Linked DNA regions of Oryzias latipes. The protein of the gene in region 1 interacts with the protein of each later gene in a pairwise test. Links are inferred from orthologs where the notes say so. Each region holds a gene or a part of one and is shown on either strand. Other genes may lie near its edges. The genes, in order: lhx9 and khk.

Evidence for each region.
Region 2: the proteins of lhx9 (region 1) and khk interact in binary tests that used the Homo sapiens proteins (3 or more experiments, as listed by UniProt). The two-hybrid records come from large-scale screens. The link is inferred for Oryzias latipes from reciprocal best matches to the Homo sapiens genes LHX9 and KHK.

Annotation. Positions count from the first base shown.
Region 1 is NC_019862.2:14,399,393-14,403,974, forward strand, and holds the start of lhx9 (LIM/homeobox protein Lhx9), read left to right. Parts: upstream 1-1,736; 5' UTR 1,737-1,864; intron 1,865-4,231; exon of another isoform or gene 4,232-4,582. UniProt on the Homo sapiens protein: Involved in gonadal development.
Region 2 is NC_019863.2:25,263,790-25,268,149, forward strand, and holds the start of khk (ketohexokinase), read left to right. Parts: upstream 1-1,442; 5' UTR 1,443-1,554; coding exon 1,555-1,655; intron 1,656-3,559; coding exon 3,560-3,676; intron 3,677-4,360. UniProt on the Homo sapiens protein: Catalyzes the phosphorylation of the ketose sugar fructose to fructose-1-phosphate.

The DNA.
Region 1 (4,582 bases):
CTTTCAGGAGAGCTCCCATGGCGAGTTTTGGTGTCACTTGAGGTGACCCAGAAACGATAGCTCCAGATGAACCCTGGATGTGTGGTAATCCAGCCACCATGCCCTACAGCAGAGAGGAACCCGCTTTGTGCTGTAGCCGTGGTTTCAGAGAGGAACCAAGCACCTTGCAGCACCTGCCCGGGTGTCACAGTCGAAGAACGCTACATGAGCATTACGTGTTGTGGTACACTCTGAAATGGATCCCTGCATTGCTGCATTATTGATGAGACACACTGTGATGTCAACCCAGGCTGAAGGAGCAAAGCAAAATGACTCTTAGCAGTGTGGCACATGATCATTTATGCAGGCAGTGCAACGGAGTAATTAATTGTCACCCTTTGCTCCCAGCAGCAGCGTTCACTAACACTGTATTCCCTTAACTTGTTGTCAATTGAAATTTGTCCATCTGTGCCTGAGAGGGTTGTTCTCCAGGAGGTTGATGGTTGGTTTGGGACACCCACTTTTCATGGTGACCCTGTCTTTTGTTGTGTTAACACTAAATACAGCAGGTGGAGACAACAGACACATTTTTTTCTTGTTCAAATTGTCAGATTAATCATCTGGAATAAAACAATCAGAAAAAATGTAAGTAATAATAATAATTCAGCTCTGAAAAACACAAATCACACAGAATTAGCACTTTTAATCTAACATAAACAGTATTTGAAATGAATTAATCCTTGAAATTGTTCATTTTTGTGATTTATTTAAAATTATCTTTAAAAGGAAGTCACATATGTGCAGAATAGTCCCCCAATTATTGCTATTAATTTGTATGAAAAATGTCACCTTGGTTCTGCAGGAAAGATGGCTACAGTCACTTCAGAGGTTGAGTATTGATTATTCCACAAATATTTTTCTTTTTTAAGTGTTTTTAAAAAATCAGAAATGCTTGTTTGTGTTCTCCAGAACCTTTTTTTTTCTTTAGAAATTGTGTAGGTTTTTTTCTGTTTTTGCATCCATAGCCATGTAATCCTCAACTTTTCCACAATTTTTAAATGTAAATAATAATCAAAATAAACGTTCTAAATGTAAATAATAATCAAAATAAACGTTTTAAAGAACCCTTTACTGTTTTGCTGTTTCCACGTCATTACTACGCTCAGACCCCCCCCCCCCCAAAAAAAAAAAAAAAAAATTAATGAGCACTTTTATTTCGAAGAGGCTTCAGATTTGGCATTTGGTCATTTTACGCGTTTGTGTGCTGGCGTGCGTGTCCGCGCCCCCACATCTTTGTCTGGCTGATTGATCCAGTTTGACTGTACACCCATATAATTAGGCTGCTTATTCACATAAACGTGCAGACAGTGAAACTGGAGCTGTAACTGCTCTCACTTGAGTTGCATTCAGCAAACGCACATATCATGTTACAGTTTGGTGACTATAAGCTGTGCGCTTTTGTTTTTAGTGCATAAAGATCTGCTTTAATGCAGAAAGAAAAATGTCATTCCAAAATAAAGAAAATACATCAATGATGTCAAGTTTTGGCACTAATTACATTTATGTTTGTATTCATAAATCGTTTGCCTTAAAAACTTAAGGGTCTTCCCGCATTTTGCGGTAAATCAGAAATTACAAACATAGTGGGCCAAGAGCTTGCCTTTTGTCAGTGTGTTGCGTTTAGGGTTGCATACGAGAGAGGAATATTTAAATGTCTTGTGTTTTAATTGACGCTCGAAGTGGAGGTGCGGTAACGAGGAACAGCCCCCCATACCGGCAGCTTCTCCTCTGCCTCCTATGCTGTGTGCGCACAGACCGCAGCCCGCCCGCCTGTCAGCCTGCACGCACGCAGCACAGAGGACTCACACACGCTGCGCAGCCTCAGGTAAGACCTTCTCTTCGGCTTCTTGGTCTTCGGGACAATTTAAAAAATGCCAAATTGGGTTGTTTTTGAGCGAAAAGCCGTCTGAAATCGAGCGATGGGTGCGCGTCAAGCAGCGCGCGACACATCTGGTGACAAAAAGAGCGACAGTGAATTCTGCAGGAGGATGTGCTGGAAGGTGAGGCCAAAGAAAGTATAGCGAGATCTCCATATTTTTTTCCATTCTTTAAAAAATATAAATATGAAATCCTTTTAGGTCTTTACCTAGTTTTTTTTCCTCCTTTGTACATAACATAATTTTTTCTTTTGCATTTCTTAGATTAAAAAGTGACGCTTTAGAAATAACAATACGCTATGTAATTTTGTAAATTTTGCATAATAATTTATTTGACAATAATATGATCTATGGTTGTTTTTTTTTATTTTTAACACTTGTGTATTTAATTTATTCGTTGTTTTTTCTTCTTCCATTTTTTGTTTAAAATGCCGTTTAATTTGCGCTCATTGCGTTGATGTTTTTCGCTGTTTTATTTCGTTAAACAAGGTCACAGCCCACATCCTAAATCAGGTCAAATCATTAACACTAACTAAAGCAAAAAAGGACACGCAACGTTTCAAAACCAGCATTAAATGTTTATTTATGATGCCACCATGGAGAAAACGTAGTTTCAACCATGAAGATTAAAAAAGTTCAAATTAATTGTCTTTTATTTTTGTGTTTATTTTTTAAATGTGTACGTTTTTGAAGGCAAAGTTCACCTTTTCCCTCAGCTTTCTGATAGTACAGTAATAGGATATTTTAAAGAAAAGATTAAACGCGTAAACTATATATCCTGTAATGTGTGGCAGCGTTCACATCTCAATTAGACAGAGAAATGAAAAACCCAAACAAAACAGCAGCACGTCCCTTTGATGTTCACTGAGACAATGTTAAAGCATCATCAGTCAAAAAGAAATGTCACCGCTGGAGGCGACGAGTCCAAACAGCACTTTTGCAACCATTTTTAAGGCGATTTGGGTTTTTACGCACACATTCGCATAAAAATATAGGAAAGAATATGCAAAACAATCCGCTTTGGAATAAATATAAGTGAGCCGGTTTTATCTTTTCTCTTGGGGCGTCTTTGTCCAGGTGACCTAACCCCCCACCCCCTCCTTAATTTTTTATTTGGCCCCTCCGACGAACAGCTGCGGGTCCAGTCCGTCCAGGAGGGCCGGAGCCTCGACTTTTGCTGCTGTTATCAAGGGGCTTCCAATTAGAGCCAGCACACCTCCATGATGTGTGTTTGTGTGCGGTAGGTGGAGGATGCAGGAGGAGGAGGGGTTCACATGATAATGTTACGCGTCCTAAGATGAAGCATCCACACCTGCAACCCACCCCCACCCCGAGCCTCTGTCTATTATTGGACAGAAAGTCTCGGCAAAATCCAGAAAACTGATGTGTCTAGAGTTTATCCCCCTGATTTCAGCTAAAGGCCTGCTTTGTGATTGTCACAATCACTCTTATGGTTAGTTATTATGGTTAGTTGTCACCATGCTTGGCCTTTACTGGACGCTAAAAAAAAAATCCCTTTTTTATTTGCGTAACAGAGTGTTCACACCCTTTAAACGCAACACTGATATTTCCTTTGGCTTTATCCTTCCATGTTTCACATAGAGGATAGTTAATGGATTTTCTTAACGCTTACATTTCTTGAAATATGCACAAAAAAACTGCTTATGGTTCCCCTGTGGCGACCACCAACTGGAGGTCTACTTTTATCTCTCATCTCCCTCCAAAACCCAGTTTGTAGCAAAGACTGCAAGACAAATTAAATCCAGTTTGGGTTGTCAGTTCAACTCTCCTGCAGGTAAACAAGGTTTTGGCCTCATTTACAGAGAGAGGGAAGACGGGATTTAGTAATATTATTATTATTATTACTATTATTATTATTATTACTATTATTCAGGGTGGGAAATTGGAGTTTATAAAAATAAAATAAGAATAATTCAAAAATAAAAGCATCAAAGTAGAAGCTTACAAAAAACATTTTTTAATGGAATTTTTTCCCTTCATATTTAATCTTAGTAGTCCCCGCCCCCGCTTGTTACTGATCACTGTCCCGCCCCAGACAATGAATTTATGACCCCCCCCCCCCCCCTCCTCCACACACACTCTCACCCCATCATTACACTAATTAGGGACATCCAAACACCTGATTCGGGTCAATTCTGGTTCATCAAAACCCAAATGAAACCAATTAGGAAGACACGTTTTAAAAAACAAAACAAAAAAATTAAAAAACACATTTCTTCTCCTGTTTTAAACCATTATTATGTTTGTGTTTTAACACTTACACGATGAAAAAGTATTAGGCCAATCTTCTATATAAGATTATTTGTGCAATAGTAGGTTTTCATGAAATAATAGCAGCGGTGGAAATGTAAATTCCATACAGCAATTGTCCTGAACGCGGCCAGAATCTGGAGATTTTTTTAGGGTAGAGTGACAGCTCTTTGTTGAAAATCGGTAGGAGAGAGGTTGAGAGACAGGCGCGGAGCGAGAGGAGAGAGGGAGAGAAAAGGAGGAGAGGAGAAGGAGAAGGAACTCCTCCTACCAAATTATTCAGACTGGGCCGGCTCTGCTCTCTTCTCAAATAGGACACGGCTCTCAAATGCAGGCAGTCCCAACCTGACCTCCGCGCGCAGAGGAACCTCCTGACTGGGAACTCGGGAAGGAGA
Region 2 (4,360 bases), on another chromosome or scaffold:
AGTTTTACAATCTTAGAACAATTAATGTACAGCATGGCAAAAAAATATACATACATGGATCATGGATATACATGGATCCAGTGCGGCATCACTGTTGTATCAATGCGTATGAATGATGGTGATGGTCAGAGGGACCGTAGGCGCGAACTGGCAGCCATGCTTCTGTCATCTCCAAGTATGAATGAGGAGTGAATGAATATTGAACACAATGTAAGCGCTTTGAGCGTGTGCAAAACTGCAGATAAATCTAATCCATAATTATTTTTTTAATTTTAACTATTTGTCTGCAAGTGGATGCATCAGAGTAGAGCGGAGTGGGGATTGTCATCTTCCCATTGTAGCACCTACATCACACCTACAAGCTTTTCCTACTACAATTTTTCATCTGCTCCTGATTCATTTGTTGAATAAAAAAATACTCATATGCTTGTTGTTTGTTTCTTTTTGTTCATTTGCCCTTTAGTTTTGATTATATCTCTTTTCAGGTGTTGCTTTGCCACAAACTGTGGGGATGTTTGCTTTAGCACCCACCGTGACTTTGTGTGTAGTTTTTGTAGTTCGCAATCAGCAGAGTCAAGAGGTCAGTGCATACAGTAGGGGACGTTCTGCCCTTGCTTCGTCAGCAGATTCTTCATAAAACAACAAAAAAAAAGTAAAACTTCCCGTCACGTTAAATGTGTCATTAGCCCTTGAAGCCCTCTTGCGGGCCAAGGGGTCTGACATAGATGAAATCCTCACCTTTTGGCAGGTGGACCTTATAGGACACACAGGAAAACAAACAGAAAATGTTCTGACAGTGACAGTGACAGTGACGTCTAAACTGAAGCAATAATGTTTGTGCAGTGATGCAATGCTGCTCCTTATGCAACTGGCTGGCTCCTCCCCTGAAACAGCTGAGAACTTTGTTCCACTGCATCGACAGGAGCGTTTATTCATTCATGAATTTCCTGAGCTGTTAATTCAGCTTTTATGGAAGGAAAAATAACCTGCACACTGAAAATACAGTAGTGGGTTTCTAACTCGTGAACCATGACTTTGAGGACTCGGACATAACCACCACTTCCCTCTGCTGTCTATATTTATAAGCTACAAACTAAACATTTTGAATAAACTTCTGCATAGTTTGTATTACTGAAAAGCTTTCTGTGGTCTGGAAGGGAAGTGATTGGACGGTTTCAGTTATTGGCTTGGACAAACTCTTACGTGTTTATATGATGCCACACACATCATGCACACAATGCAGTTATATAGGAGGGGCTGCTCACTGGTTCTGGTTGGGTCTAAAGTGCGGTCTTGTGAATGAAAATTTACTGCAAAGGTGTCAATAGTCCACATCAAGATTATGATGCATGAAAGGTAGTAAGAGATGTTACAGAGTCACCAGTTTCCATTGGTACCAGGGAAGCTCTTATTTTGTAGATTAGCTCACAGGAAGTGCTGGTTCTGCTAGTAGTGGCTTGACTGGAAGAAAATGAGCTGTGTGTGAGTGTGTGAAAGAGCAGCATGCTGCAGTGTGCGTTCATGACAGCCTGAGGACACACAGGGACAGACCGGATGAGCATGGCGGAGCAGAAAAAGATCTTGTGCGTGGGTCTGGTGTGTCTTGACATCATCAACGTGGTGGACAAATACCCTGAGGAAGACTCTGACAGCAGGTTAGCACACAGGCTAGCAGCCACACACTCAAAACTCTTCCATCAGCTGATCTGCCAGCACATACACACTTTTGTCTCTTTTGATGCTTCTGGTAAACCAATTGTGTTGTGGAAAGCAGCTACATTGTTTTTTAGAAAGCTTTTGTGTTCTACTGATGTGTCCTAAAATTTATTTAATCAGTGTGGATCCGTAGTCATTCATTCATCTTCCAAACCTGTTTTGTCCCTTTTGGGGTCACGGGGCTGCTGGAGCCTATCCTGGCCACTCGTGGGAGAAGGTGGATCCCCGGTTTCTTCTTTTTTTAATGGCTATTAAGTGTCTGTTGAGCTCACATTAAAGAAAATCTGCAACTCATCGTGTCTCAGGGGCAAAGTTTAACCTGCTAACCAGTCATAAACGCCAACTGCTGCCAAAAATCATCATCTGAGCAGTGAAATGTTCAACTGTTGCAACGCAGCTCTGACAAGTTCAGTTCAGTTTGAGTGGGGTTGGGGTTCAGGGTTTGGGCTGGGGTCAAACATGAGTGCTGTGGCTGGAGGACCATCGCAGCCTCACATCAGGACAACTGTGCTGACCTTCAGGGCTAAGTGCTTACATAATGAGGCTGCTGTAAAAAGATAACTTAGAAGAGGACGTTCTCAGGACAAATGCAAGCCAACTATGCTTACCCTTAGCCCCGCCCCTCACAGGGTTATAAAGGCAAGAATCAGGACTTCAAACAATTCCATCTTTACGTTGACACTGGTTTTACAAGAGAGCCGTGACTCTTCTACCCCTTCAAACAGACATAAATACATCCACATGTGCATTTCAAGATCATAAACGGATAGAAACCTGGTTTTTTGAAACGCATCTTCTAAGCCTCAAAGACAGGTGAAGGTTTTGGAATTTTCTCTGGAGGGCGACAGAAATCTTTGAATGCTTTCTGGGAAAAGACACAATTACCCTTTGACTGCACAGTTATCTGGTGAAGAAGAATGTTATGTTCATAGTCTGATAAAAGCTTTAACGACCAAATTTCCAATGACTGCTCGTTCTCTTGGTCTCAGCATATTTTTTCAAGAATATTTATCTGCCTCTTAAATTGCCGGACCTTCTGAAATGATTTGGGGGTGCTCTTTGTCTATGTGTTCCTGCTCCGATCTCTATTTTCTCCACTTCTTTTTATTTAATGTAGTTTAGGGCCTAAACTACAAATGTTACTCAAAATGATAATTACTAAATTTACAACTGCACTTACAGTAGTAGCATTTTAGTTTGAAAAGTAGTTTTTTTGGAAACCTGAGGTTTAAAAAAAATTAAACGCCAACTTCAGCCCTGTTTGGACCGGTCTGTGAAAATATTGTCTGCCATTAATCCGGTCTGTGGGACCACTGGTTTACAGAATCCCTGTTGTATGAAATGCCCATTTAGATGAGACCAACAGTGTTTAGATAGCAAATGAAAAGCAGTTTTTCAGCATCGGTTAATAAAGCAGTTTGAATTTTCTAGATGTTACTGAGAAAGAAATAATACAATTTTGTTATACCAATGCGTTAAACCTCAGTCTCAGGTGGAACCATCAAGACAGAAAGTAACAAAAAAAAAAAGAGTGATTATAAAAGACAGTGTCACATACACTTAAATATTTTGTATGAACAGTAGAATCTGTCACTGCATTTGTTCTGGATGGGATGAGTCCTGTTGATGAAGAGTACTGGTGACATGCTGCATGTTAACGTTTTGGTTTTCTTCAGAATATTTACCAAACAACAGTAAAAACTGGAATAATGCAAATGCTAAAAAACTTAAAGGATGGATAGGACTTTACCTTTTTTTTGTCCAGAAACTCTCTTCATTTGTTTATCCCTAAGTTTTCTTGACGTTTTCTGAGTTTACAGATGAGTGTGACCCCTGTGTTCAGGTGTTTGTCGCAGCGATGGCAGCGAGGCGGGAACGCGTCCAACTCCTGCACTGTGCTGTCGCTGCTTGGAGCTCCGTGCGCCTTCATGGGCTCTCTGGCTGCTGGTCTGACCGCGGAGTGAGTATTGACAGACACATCTGACTGAAATCACTGTTGTTCAGGGCTACATTTTCTGATCCCACTGAGCTGTTCCTGTTGTAAGGAGAAGGCTGGATGGTTAAAAAACAGCAGAGAGCAGGTGGATGACAATTTATTGAGAGCTTGGAGATGGGCAGAGAGCCAGGCAGGCAGTCAGGATCAAACAGTGAGTTCTGCAGCCAAACCATCCAAATAGCTGCACTGGAGTCAGTAAGAGGACAATCTGGCACAGAGTGGCTGGAGGAACTGGGCTTTATGCCGTTGGTCTGATGAGGGAAGTGACTCCATCTGAGAAGGGTGTGGAGCAGGAAAAACAAACCGGAACAGAGGCAGGGATCCCAACATCTCCCCTGTGACTGGATCTCCATGTGCATACCAGACAATGTAAAGAAGTCATTTCCAGAGTCGATTTCAGGTCAGACCACTCACCGCCACCCCTACTTTCCCATCACGATGTTGTCTCTGCTTTTTTTCCTCATGAACACTTTTCATCTTCTGCTAACCCTCAAACAGCCCCCCCCCCCCCCCTCCATGGTTTTCAAGACCTGGAACTCACCTCTCCTCACAATCAGTTATGTGATAAACCTAATTTGACAATTGAGTCACACATTCTCAATGAATTGCTTTGGAAAAACTTTCTTGCAACAGGAAGTGTCAAAGGGA